Linked DNA regions of Canis lupus familiaris. The protein of the gene in region 1 interacts with the protein of each later gene in a biochemical or structural test. Links are inferred from orthologs where the notes say so. Each region holds a gene or a part of one and is shown in the gene's direction. Other genes may lie near its edges.

Evidence for each region.
Region 2: of the proteins of CSNK2B (region 1) and CHEK1, one has a biochemical effect on the other in vitro, tested with the Homo sapiens proteins (2 studies listed by BioGRID, with this or other methods). The link is inferred for Canis lupus familiaris from reciprocal best matches to the Homo sapiens genes CSNK2B and CHEK1.
Region 3: the proteins of CSNK2B (region 1) and TNFAIP1 form a complex in vitro, tested with the Homo sapiens proteins (2 studies listed by BioGRID, with this or other methods). The link is inferred for Canis lupus familiaris from reciprocal best matches to the Homo sapiens genes CSNK2B and TNFAIP1.

Annotation. Positions count from the first base shown.
Region 1 is NC_049233.1:1,286,689-1,290,973, forward strand, and holds the start of CSNK2B (casein kinase II subunit beta), read left to right. Parts: upstream 1-1,429; 5' UTR 1,430-1,519; coding exon 1,520-1,568; exon of another isoform or gene 1,569-1,647; intron 1,648-1,658; exon of another isoform or gene 1,659-2,066; intron 2,067-2,166; exon of another isoform or gene 2,167-2,319; intron 2,320-2,442; exon of another isoform or gene 2,443-2,590; intron 2,591-2,911; coding exon 2,912-2,994; intron 2,995-3,729; coding exon 3,730-3,832; intron 3,833-4,285. Other genes in the region: GPANK1 (G patch domain and ankyrin repeat-containing protein 1), read right to left, coding at 1-529. UniProt on the Homo sapiens protein: Regulatory subunit of casein kinase II/CK2.
Region 2 is NC_049226.1:8,902,178-8,905,789, reverse strand, and holds part of CHEK1 (serine/threonine-protein kinase Chk1), read left to right. Parts: intron 1-2,764; coding exon 2,765-2,873; intron 2,874-3,059; coding exon 3,060-3,237; intron 3,238-3,499; coding exon 3,500-3,612. UniProt on the Homo sapiens protein: Serine/threonine-protein kinase which is required for checkpoint-mediated cell cycle arrest and activation of DNA repair in response to the presence of DNA damage or unreplicated DNA.
Region 3 is NC_049230.1:42,558,486-42,562,537, forward strand, and holds the start of TNFAIP1 (BTB/POZ domain-containing adapter for CUL3-mediated RhoA degradation protein 2), read left to right. Parts: upstream 1-1,201; 5' UTR 1,202-1,347; intron 1,348-4,052. UniProt on the Homo sapiens protein: Substrate-specific adapter of a BCR (BTB-CUL3-RBX1) E3 ubiquitin-protein ligase complex involved in regulation of cytoskeleton structure.

The DNA of each region.
Region 1 (4,285 bases):
GAGCAGCATCCTTGCCACCCAGCTCACAGACACCCACCCAGGCAGCTCCACGGCCCAGGAGATAGCGCACAGCAGCCCCCTGGCCTGCTCGAGCAGCACACATCAGGGGGGTCCACCAGAAGGCATCCCGAGCATTGATATTGCCCCCCGCTCCCCCTGCCTCGTGGGGATCCAAGAGCCTTCTTAGTTCTGCTAGGTCACCCTCCTGGGCTGCCCTCAGTATCCAATGGGTCATCTTGTCCTCTGCCTCAAGGGATCTCCTTTGTCCATGTCCTGCTGAGGCTCCTACAGCAGCTTCCCCCATCATTCTTCTCTTCTTCCTCTTTCTTTTCCTGTCAGGTTCAGGCTGAGATCTCTGGGATGCAGGGATGCTGCTCTCTTCTGCAATCAGGGCCTCATAGAAAGCCCGGGCTGCAGCCCCATTCAGGGTGGGCTCCAGCTCTTCAGGCTGTGACTGCTGCTGCCCATCTTTCCAGAGGTCACTGGGGTTGGTGGCCGGGGTGAAGGTGATGAGGGAGGGCCTGGACATGGCTTTTGGGAGAACTGAGACAATGAGACTAATTAAAGGGCGTATGAGACAAGCAAGCCAATCCCTTGGTGGCTCTGCACTGACCAGAACCACCTCCACAGATCTGCTGGGATGAGGAAAAGTAGCCTTTTCCAAGTCAAAAACCCGTCTTATACTCTAAGTGACCCCACAACCTAGGACCCTACAGGGCCTAAGGACCATAGGTCATGTGGAAAAACAGGGAGCCATACAATAACAGCCCATATCCCTCGTAAAGGTTAACTTAACAAAGATTTAATGAGAATTGCCCAGAGGCCCATCCCTATCCTCACCAATAAGTAAAAACAGCTTCTCTCTCAAACTACTTGATCACCAGGTAAGACGTGCAGTTAAGAAAACAATCAGCCTAGCCCTTTAAATCTTCCTTGATCCTATGTCAGGGTAGGGTCTTTCCAAACAAAAACAGACTTTTAACCTTCTCCGGATGCAAGAAGAAGATTTGGGGGAGAAACTCCAGTCTCTGTGGAGACCCCACAGGGTCTCTGTACCACAAAAATTTTATCTAAGCAAAGGTGCTGCCAGTCCAATAGCCACACGACCCAGACACACATGTGTGACTGAAAAAAAAATCAACCACCACAAAGCAGAACTTGAGGGTGCGGGCGTGTGCGAAGCGCCAGGCTGAGCCTTCGCACGGTGGGACCCTCCAGGATGCCACGTGCCCAGGCAGCGCGAGGACAGAGGCTCTGTCGGTTGGGGTCCTACTTCTACATAACGCCCCACAATGCCCTTCGCCTCCCGGAACGTGGCCCCCCACTCCGAGCGCAGTTTTTGGACCTGCGAAACCACCGAGTTAAGGAGGGCTCTGAGAAGGCGGGAGGAAACCTGTGGAATGCCCCGAAGCCGTGAAGTGAAATAACGTCACGCCACCCCTCACCATTATTCTGAGCAGGGTTCGAAGGTCACACTTAGTGCCCGCAGCAGAAGGCCCCATTCAAGCTCTGAGAGGAGATGGAAAAGTGCAAGGGGACGAGCAGCAGAATGGCTGGCGCCACTTCAGGTTAGCGCACAGGCCGTCCCAATTCTCACACCGCTCACCTCAGCCCAGCCCACTCTTCCCACGTCCCGCAAGCAAGGAGCCCGGCCTCACCTCCCGCCTGAGGAGACTAGACCCCGGGGTGAAGCACCGGCCCGGGTGGGGCCTCCAGTGGCGGGCCTGACTCTGGCGAGAGGCTCCGCAGGCAACAAGGACCCGGTGGGGTAGTCGGGGACGAGGTCAGCACCCTGGGCTGCCGGCAAACACCTGGGGCAGAGCCTCGCTGTGTGAGGGGAGTTGCAGGAATCCAGCCCTCCAGCCCCGTTCCTTCCCCGCCCCCTCCCGGCCCCTCAGTTGCGCGACCCTACGACTCTATTTCCCATACTCCCTGGCCCAGAACGGGGTACTGCGCTTCCGCTTCCGGTGGTATCCCGCTGCTCCCCACCCCCGAGCGTCTTGTTCCTGGGCCTCGCGACGCCAGGGTCGTTCGTGGGTCATCCTGGGATTCGTAGTTCGCCTGTTCTTCGCTTCGCCAGTTTCTCTTTACCTGGGACTCCATTTCCCGGCGTTCACTGCGGCGCCCGACCCTTGGCGCTTGCGCGTTGCCCTCTCCCCACCCTCCCCAATTTCCACACACACCGCCCCCCGCCCCCCCCCCCTCGCTACTTCGCCTGCCGCGGTCGGGTCCGCGGCCTGCGCTGTAGCCGTCGCGGTTCTTTGGAAGCAGCAACTCCCCTCCCCCACCCCGGTCCCGGTCCCGGTCCCCGCCCAGCCGGTGAGTCTGAGGTCGTTGCCGCATCGAGTCTTCCGTCCTTAGGCGCGGCACATGGGGTCTCCGCGCGTTGGTGTGGGGGTGGGGAAGGAAGTGACCCGGTCCGGCACCGGGGGAGGGAGGGTTGGCCTGAGAGGCGGGGTGTGGGGACTCCTGTGAGAGGGACCCAGGGCCACCTCCAGGTCGTGAGGGGAAAGGGTCCTGGCTTTTGCTTGGAAAGGATAAACTTCGGAACCCTTGGGAAAGGTGTCGGGGACATGCGGAGACCTGCGGGGTAGGGATCTCGAGCCGAGAGCCCTGCGAGGGAGGGACTTGACGTAAAGAGGAGAGGGTGCTGGTTTTCGGGATTGTTAGGGGTGTGGGTAGGACGGGTGAGCCTAGACCTGTCGGTTTTTCAGAAGTGGTGGGACTCCAAAGAGCCTCTAGTGAATAAGAGGAATTGGAGGCAGGTGCGCCAGGGTCTAGGATCCTTTAAGAAAAGGGGGCTCCAAATTCTTCCATGGTCGGGGAGCAGAGTGTGGGGAGGAGGGAAGGTACCAGAGACAGGGTGGGGGAGCTTGGCCTTTGTTTACCCTCTTTTTTTTTTTTTTCCCAGCTGACGTGAAGATGAGCAGCTCAGAGGAGGTGTCTTGGATATCCTGGTTCTGTGGGCTCCGTGGCAATGAATTCTTTTGTGAAGTGAGTTCTCAATCTCCCAGCTATGTCCGCACAAAGTTTGGCTGTATGTTTTTCCACATATTTAGCTTCTACTTCTCTTACAGGCTGTCATAGAAACTTTTTCCTGTCAAGGAAGAGTCCCTTCAGTAACTCCCCTCACTAATTTGTGAAGTGGCAAGACTTGCCCATCCCAAGCCTGTTACTGTCCAGCGGTGTAATATTGGAAAAGTCAACTTTATTACTACTACTACTACTACTGTTATTCTTATTATTATTGCTAGGCTTGTACTAGTAGTGCTTAATTTGGGAGCCTATTAGGATTAAAATGCCGTTTATCAAAATGTTTTGTAACAGGCAAAGTTTTGTGCTAATGATATAATGGATTATAACTGCCCACAGGACCCAAGCTGTTTAGTCGCTGCTTTTCTTAGAGTTCTAGCTGCCGGTAAGGAGAGGACAAAACTGGTCTGTAGAGATGGGATCAAGAATAGGAACAGGGATTTTAAAAGGAGTGTCTCGTTAAGGAAGAGATTGTTGTAGCTGCTTATCCTTAGGAAAGAAAAGCCAGAGCTTTTATGGGAAGGCAGTGTATGTGAACTGGGGAGAGAGACTCAAGGATTTCTGCTGAGTTGGTGTGGGGAATTAGGGAAAACAGAAGCAGTTGTGTTGGAAACAAGGCACCAATTAGAGCAATGTGCCCAGATCAAAGCTGAGGATTCTGCTATGGGTTTCTTCTTGACTTCCACATCCTGACAGGTGGATGAAGACTACATCCAGGATAAATTCAATCTCACTGGACTCAATGAGCAGGTGCCTCACTATCGACAAGCTCTAGACATGATCTTGGACCTGGAGCCTGGTGAGGCATCCTCGGGGTTATCTTTGTGTGTGTGTGTGTGTGTGTGTGGTTTTTCTTTTTTCTCCCAAATTCCTGTTGATCTGCTTCTTGAATTTCTAAATTTCCTTTTGGTTCTCTGATTGCTTTTGTCCTAAGTTCTGTACTTTATTTTGCTCTCTCATCTGACTTTTGCCTGGATTTGTGACAGCCTCATTCTACACTCTGATCCTGTAACTTGGCTCTCTCCCTTAATGTTAGTTTCCTCATGGATCTCATTTCCTGCTTACCTGTCTTGCCTTGCACCTTTCAGTCTAGAGTTCCAGCTTCTATGTTGATCTTTTTCATTTATGTGTTGAGAGAGTTGGGAGGGAGAGAAGAGAGTAAAGGCTGAAGAGGTATAGAGAGAAGGCAGAGCTGCCTTGGGTGGGTGGGTGGAAGGGCCAGAGGCCCAGGTTTCTGGGTCAAATGCCCAGG
Region 2 (3,612 bases), on another chromosome or scaffold:
AAAAGTTTGCCCAGTAGTTATTTGTGTTTGTGGCAGGAACAGATTTGGTGGAGAGGTGGGAGTAATTGTCGAGTACAGTGATTATAGTCTAAAAGAGAGATAATGAAGCAGAGTGTAGACAGCTCATTCTGGCTGTGAATGAGAGGAAAGAGGACAATGGCTAGAGATGAGTGAGTTTTTAACTCTTCTCTGAATGCATCTTTTATTTTTTTAAGATTTTATTTATTCATGAGAGCATGAGGGACAGAGAGAGGCAGAGACATAGGCAGAGAGAGAAGCAGGCTCCTTGCAGGGAGTCCGATGAGGAACTTGATCCTGGGACTCCACGATCATGCCCTGGGCCGAAGGCAGGCGCTCAACTGCTGAGCCACCCAGGCATTCTCTGAATGCATCTTTTACCTTTCACTCTATTCTAACAGGAATCCAGCTCTCCCTTGAGAACACAGGCTTCCTCCAGTGGTAGCTGTTTTCTTTCCCACACTCTCCTACCTTTGAATCTGAGAGTGGGCAAGCATCCTTTTTGTCCTTTGTTGCCACTTTCTGCCTTTTCCTCACATTTCTCCCCTGCTTCATTTTGAATTTCATATCAGATTATCACCCGCTGTTCCATCCTTGTTACAGTCAGCTTTTGAACCTCCAATTAAAATTCTTGTCACATCATCACTCTCTCCAACTCTTGATGTACATTTTGTCATGGTTCTTGGTAATTTAAATATTCATTTGGATGATCCTTCCAATTTTCTGAACTTATATTTCCTGGATTGTCTCTTTAAGCATCCTGCTTTGACTACTGTTATATTTTCCTGGTTTCCTCTAGTTCCCTGACTCCAGCAATCCTTTGACCCTACCTAGATATGCAATTCACGAATCTACTTCCTTTTCACTATTTCTTATTTGCCCCCTCCCTAGGTCCTTAGCTCCATCCTCATTACTTTATTTATTATTACTATTTTCAAATATTTTATTTATTCATGAGAGACACACACGGGGCGGGGAGGGCAGAGAGAGACACACAGGAAGAGGGAGGAGAAGCAGGCTCCATGCAGAGAGCTGGATGTGGGACTCAATCCTGGGACTCTGGGATCATGCCCTGAGCCAAAGGCAGACTCTGAGCCGCTGAGCCACCCAGGCATCCCATCCTCATTACTTTAAATCCTAGGGTCAGTTATTATAATGACTCCTTTACATTCAGCTTCAGCTTTCCAGCCCTGTTCGCTCTTCATCATGGTTACTGGTCAAAACCTAACCCAAGTTTAATCCAGTTTTCTGCCTATGTACACTTAACACCTGCACAGCGGATCACATTTGGACCAGAATATTAACTTTAAATTCAGGATCACTAATCTCAAGTGAGCCCTTAATTCTGCCAGTCAGTTATAATGCATTTCTCCACTCCTTTGACAGCCTCACTCTCCTAAATCACATTTATATACTTTTTTTTCCCCTTCAACTTTGAATGCCTCTTTTCCCCTCCTCACTCTCAGTTGGTGACAGCATTTCCTATTTCACTGAGAAATGGAAACAGTCACAAAGGAACTTCTACAGGCTTCAGTCATCACCTCCACTCACCTAACCAGCTGCCTCTGTGCTCCTATACTCTGCTTTCTCTTTGTTGCTATGAATAAATTGCTCCAGTTATAAGCCAACTCTCTTTCTCTTGTACTTGAGACCCAGTTCTCTTTTGCTTACTCAGGGACATTATCTAGCAATTCTTCAGTCTTCCTCCTGCATTGTTAATTTTTCTGTATTAACTTTCTCATCAGCATACCAGCATGCTGTTTCTCTCATCTTACTGCCTGATCCATAGGAGGCTTACTAAAATATTTGGATGAAGGAATTAATAAATAAAATGTTTGGCTAAATATAAGTGTGTTTAAATGGTTTAGGGACAGTTCCAGTTGAGAGGGAAAAAGGCTGAAGGTATAAGAGAGAAGGAATGAAGGAGCATCAAGACCCCGAAGAGATAGGAAGGTATGGGGTTCAGGTATGAGTAGAGGGATGGGCATTGGATGGGAGCATGGAAGGGAGGGAAGGATGAGTCGCAATGCAAGTAAATTGGCAGATTTATTAATGGCAAGTTGAGGGAGTTTCTAATGACGTTATTTTCTTTGTGCAGTGGGAGATGGTATCCTGTGCTACGTAATAAGGAACTGGAGGGTGGGTGGTTGTGGGAATTTGATAAGAATGTAGAAGTTTTGAAGCAGTCATTATGGAGAAAGGGAGAGGAAACTGACTGAAAAACATAGGACTATCAGTATTGAGGATCCAGCTAAGGGTATTAACCACAGAAGTTACAGTGGCATCATTTTCTTTGTAATAATTATTCTCAGTAAAGTTTTGCCAGGGGAGAGAGTGCCTGGGTGGCTCAGTTGGTTAAGCATCTGCCTTTAGCTTAGTCATGATCTCTGGATCCTGGTCCTGACACCTGAGCTCTGTGTCAGGTTCCCTGCTTAGCAGGGAGCCTGCATCTCCCTCTGCCTCTTTTCCTGCTTTTGTTCACTCTCTCTATCTCTGTCAAATAAATAAAATCTTAAAAAAATAAAATAAAATTATGACTTTATTGTGAAATCCCACACTGGCAACATACAAATCAGGATTTGTGAAATGTGTAATTTGACACAGGAGTCCTCCTAAGTTTATGATGACCACATTTCTTATGCAATCATGTATGGAGAGCCACTATTTGTCATATAACTATTTTGTTTTGAGTAAATGGATTTAGATGTGGTTTAAAAACATTTGTATTTATGTTTTCTTTTTTTAGGAGCAAAGAGGCCCCGAGTCACTTCAGGTGGTGTATCAGAGTCTCCTAGTGGATTTTCTAAGCACATTCAATCCAATTTGGACTTCTCTCCAGTGAACAGTGCCTCTAGGTAAGATAAATCAATAAAGACCAAATAATTATTGTATGTAATATTCCCATAAAAATAATGCATGTATATATTTTTTCTTGATAATGAATGTAATTTTTTATCAGTGTGAGAATGGTAATGTGATATAAGAAAGGCCTGATTGGTTTTATCTAAAGATATATTTTTCCCCATATCTTAATGCCTCAGTGAAGAAAATGTGAAGTACTCCAGTTCCCAGCCAGAACCACGGACAGGTCTTTCCGTATGGGACACTAGCCCTTCATATATTGATAAGCTGGTACAAGGGATCAGTTTTTCCCAACCCACATGTCCTGATCATATGCTCCTGAATAGTCAGTTACTTGGCACCCCGGGATCCTCACAGGTAAGGGAATTTAGTTTTTTCAAATAAATGATGAGAAACTTCTAGTTTTTTCCTCATAAAGGCTTTTGTTTTAATGTATAAATCTTAGAAATATAGTATTAATATTGTGCGTATATAGATTTTTTTTTAAGGAAGAGATAAGAGGATGCTTTCCTATATAAGAATCTTTAGTCACACAAAAAAATTTTCAGACCCAATAGCTATGATATGACTGCTTTTGGTGATACCAGATTTATTCAGGTTTCCTCTGTTTGACATGTAGAACCCTTGGCAGCGCTTGGTGAAAAGGATGACACGATTTTTTACCAAATTGGATGCAGACAAATCTTATCAATGCCTGAAAGAGACTTGTGAGAAATTGGGCTATCAGTGGAA
Region 3 (4,052 bases), on another chromosome or scaffold:
GGGTAGTGGGCAGCCAGCAAATTCTCAGCAGGAAAGGCAGACATATGTGTCTTTTACAACCATCACTCTGACCCAGGGTGGAGGAGGGAACAAGAGAGTGGGGCTACACATACCTTGTTCATCGCTGTAACCCTAGCATCTAGCAGGGTGCCTGCACTCAGTAAATGTCTGTGGAATGAATGACTGGAAACAGAAAAGGCTATTACAGTACCCAAGGCTTGGAAGAAAAGCGTCCCCATTTGCGATGTTACATAAGCTGATGTAATTAGTAAAGCCCCGACTGAATGTAGGAGTCTGGGATGAGGGAAGGAAAGAGGCAGGCAAGATTCCCCTGTATCTGGCTCGAGCGCCAACTTTTAAGTTCGGTGGGCAGAGCTGAATGAGACGGATAAGACCGGATAAGGAGGGCAGGGAGAGGGTTCACAGCCGACTATCAGATTCCCTCCCAACTCCCACCACACGTGCGTGTCTGAGCATCTGAGGAACACCGGGCACCAGAGCCGCGCGGGGCTCCCCGAAGACGGCGGCGGCGGCGACACTCTCCGCCTCCCTGGCTCTCCCAGACCCATTCCCGGCCCCGCCGGCAGGCGCCATTCGCGGGATAGTCGGCAAGGGGCGCCGGGCACACAGGTAGGAAGACCTGGGTGATGGAGCTGGCTGTCCACACTACGGAAACGCCTCGAACTTCTGGGCCGCGGTTTCGTCACAGGGCCGCTGCGAGCATCCACGCAAAGCTCCAGGCCCCAGCTGGAGTCTCACCGCTCGCAAAGACGCGCGCGGAATCCCCACGTTTCTTTCGGCCTGTCAGGTTCAGTCGCCCCGGGTCCGCCCGCGTCCCCCGGCCCGGAGTCGCTGCCTACCTGGCAACCCCGTAGCGGCGGCGCGCTACCGCCCGAGCTGTTTCCTGCAGGCAGCCTCTCTCCCCGGGCAGCAGCAGCCGGTGCCTCGCCCGCCGGCCTCAGCCGCTGCCACGGCTACTGTTTACCCGTAACGTCATTACCTGACTGCGGAAGTACTTACCCCGCCCAACCCGCAGAGCCTGCTGGGAAAAGGGCCTGTGGGGAGGGACGGCTGCCTACAAGATCCAGAGGCCTTTGCGGCGGAAAGGCTGCCGGAAGTAGCCGAACGCCAACAGCGGAATTCTCCCAGGGGCCCCTCCCTCTCCCGTGATTGGGTGCTGGGCATGGCGGCGGGGCGGGCGGGGCTGGGCCGCGGCTCAGGGCGGAGTCCGCGGGCGGAGGATGTGAGCTCACGGCCCGGGATTGCTGGCGGGCAGGCGGCCACAGCCCCGGGCGGCACGGGGTCGGCTTGCAACCCAGCTGAGAGGAGACGTGCCCCCCGGGAACGGTGAGAGGCGGGGTGCGGATGCCCTGGGGGACAGGATGGACGGGCCGCGGGCTGGAGCAGGAGCAGGGGCAGGAGCCCCACCCGGGGCTGGGGAGAAGGCGTGGGACGGCGGAGGGGAGATGGAGAGCGCAAGTCCTCCACTGGGGTGCGTGTCAGAATCGGTCGGCTTCTCGGTGTGAGGAGGGGTGCGGCCCGGGGAAGACTCCACCGACCACGGAGAGGTTGGGTCTCGCTAATCTTTCCAGACCTTTGGGACGAAACCTAAGATTTACACCTCGGATTTCTGCTGGATCCGCCTCCTCTACCCAAGATTGGCCACCCGCCCCCCACCCACCCCACCGAGTGTCATGGACCCATGGGTCCGTCTTCTAGGACCCCGCCTTCTTCCACGGCCGTGGTTGTGGTCCTGCCCTTCATTCTGCTTAGGTTCCCATTAGCCTCACTGAGGGAGACTCGGATACGCCCTCAGCCCCAGGCATCCCCAAATACCCACACACAAAGTCCGGAAGGAACTGCAGTGAGGCTATCAGTGGAAACTTCATTCTCTCTGGAATTACTTTCTGGGGCGTCACCTGCCAAAGATTCCTGGAGCCCATTGGCCCGGGAGGAATCTGAGCGGTCGGCATCTGAGCTGACGTCATCCAGGGGCTCAAAGCAATTGCTTTGTAGGCTCTGTTGGCCACCCCCTAGCCTTTGAGTTCCTTTACTTTGGCGGAACATATGTTTGCTTTCTTTGATCCTGGGGAAATCGGGGCTAGACTCAAAATGCATAGGGGACTTGCTAAAACCTGTTAAGGAGTGGATTTACTCCATTGGGGTGGGTGGGGGAAGGTGAGGTGATTTCATACTATCACGTGTTACTTAGGGATTGGACAATCTGCTGGTGAGGTTCATCTCCTCCGTACTCCATCCTTGAGGCAAGTGAGTCTCCAGGACAAGCCACCAAAGAAATTTGGCATTTCAGAAAGCAGCCGCTCTGGTCCTTCCTTGGACAGTCTTCCTAGAGGGCTACCTAAATCTTTTCAGGGACAATTTCAGTCTAACAAACTGAAATAGATTAAATACTTTCAGATGTGCATGACATTGTGCTAATCACTGTTTGGGATAGTAGAGCAGTAAACTTGGGGAAGCCGGTGCACTGCTTCTGGATCGCACTTGCAGGAGGTGATGTGCAACAGTAAACTTTTGCATACTGTGATGACTGCTGAGGCAATCACACCTTTTTTTCTGTCTGCATTACCAACACTGCAGGCCAGGCGTCCATCAGTTGCCTAGACTGCTGCTTCCTTTACTCTTCCTGCTTGCTCTCGTGCACCATTACAGTCCATTCTCTACAGGGCAGGCAGAGTGATCTTTTCAAAATGCAAATAACTCAGGACCTATCACTCCCCTGCTTAAAACCCGCCAATCGATTACCATTGCAATTAATCTAAAATGCAAACTCTCTAATGTGAACTGGCCCGTGCATTACCTGATTTTACATCAAGCCAACTACCCTCTTCTTTCTAAGTACTGGACATCTTGGCCTTCTTTCTGTTCCTGAAATTTGTGTCTGATTGAGAAACTTTGCACTTACTCTTCCATCTGTTTAGAACACTCTTTCAGACTTCAGCTGGAATGTCACCTTCCCAAAGAGGGCTTCCTGTGCCCCCATCCGTCTTAGTACTTCTCCCTAGTCATTCTCTTATCCCTAGTTTATTTATTGCATCTTACCTTCTGGAACTGCTTACTTAAAGGTAAGGTTGGTATCTATCTCTCTGTTCCTACTGCTTAACATAGTAGGCACTCAGTCTTGTTTTACTGCTGAATGAATTAAATGAAGTAATGTATATATTGTCTACACACTACCTAGACCATGGTAAACATGCAGCAAATGTTTGCTCTTTTTTTTTCAGTGAATGAATTTTAGTGATTCCTTAGAAAACCAAGATGTATATATAGTATAGAATCTAGCTCCTGAGGGGTGACCTGGCTTTTCCCTCCTCTGCTTTCCTCACTCCTCCTTCCTGTGAATGCCTATCTGTGTTTCAGTTTCCAAATCACTTAAAAGTTGTTTTTAGATTTATCATCTGGTCTTTTCCAGCCTTGTGGGTAGGGAAGAAAGGAAGGGATAGGGCTGGGCCCTATCCTTTCAGGAAAAAGAAGTAAAAATAGCCATCCTGTAGTTGTTCTAGCCTGAAAAATGGTGACAGTTTCAGGAACTTGGGACAGGGCGGGGATCAAGAGAGGTGAAGGTGAGGAAACCGCTGGGACCTGGGTAACTCTGCCGGGAACATTGACCAGTACCCTCCACCCCAGCTCATACCATGCTCTCCTGGAGCTGCTTTTACTTTACTTTCTGAAGCCACACTGTGGGTGGTGCTCAAAGTAAGCACTGGCGCAAGCTGCTTTGGAGCTTGGAATCTTTAGAAAGGAAGTGCATCCTGTCCCTCTGGCTCCTGGGACTCTCCTGCACTGGCAGAAGTCTTGGGTCCTAGGAATCTTGGGAAGAAAATATGTGGCTCCTCAGGGTAAAGACTTCTGCTGCCCCATCTGCTCCTCAAACCATCTCAGACTAGCTCCAAGGGTTTACTTGTCCTCTGTGCTGCCTTGACCTGTGCCGAGGCTCAAGGAGGCTGGCGAGATGATGGGCAGGCTCTGGAAGACTGTGCTGGTTCACAGTACCATAAAGAGGAGCAGGAATGCCTCCTTTTGCTGTTGCCTGG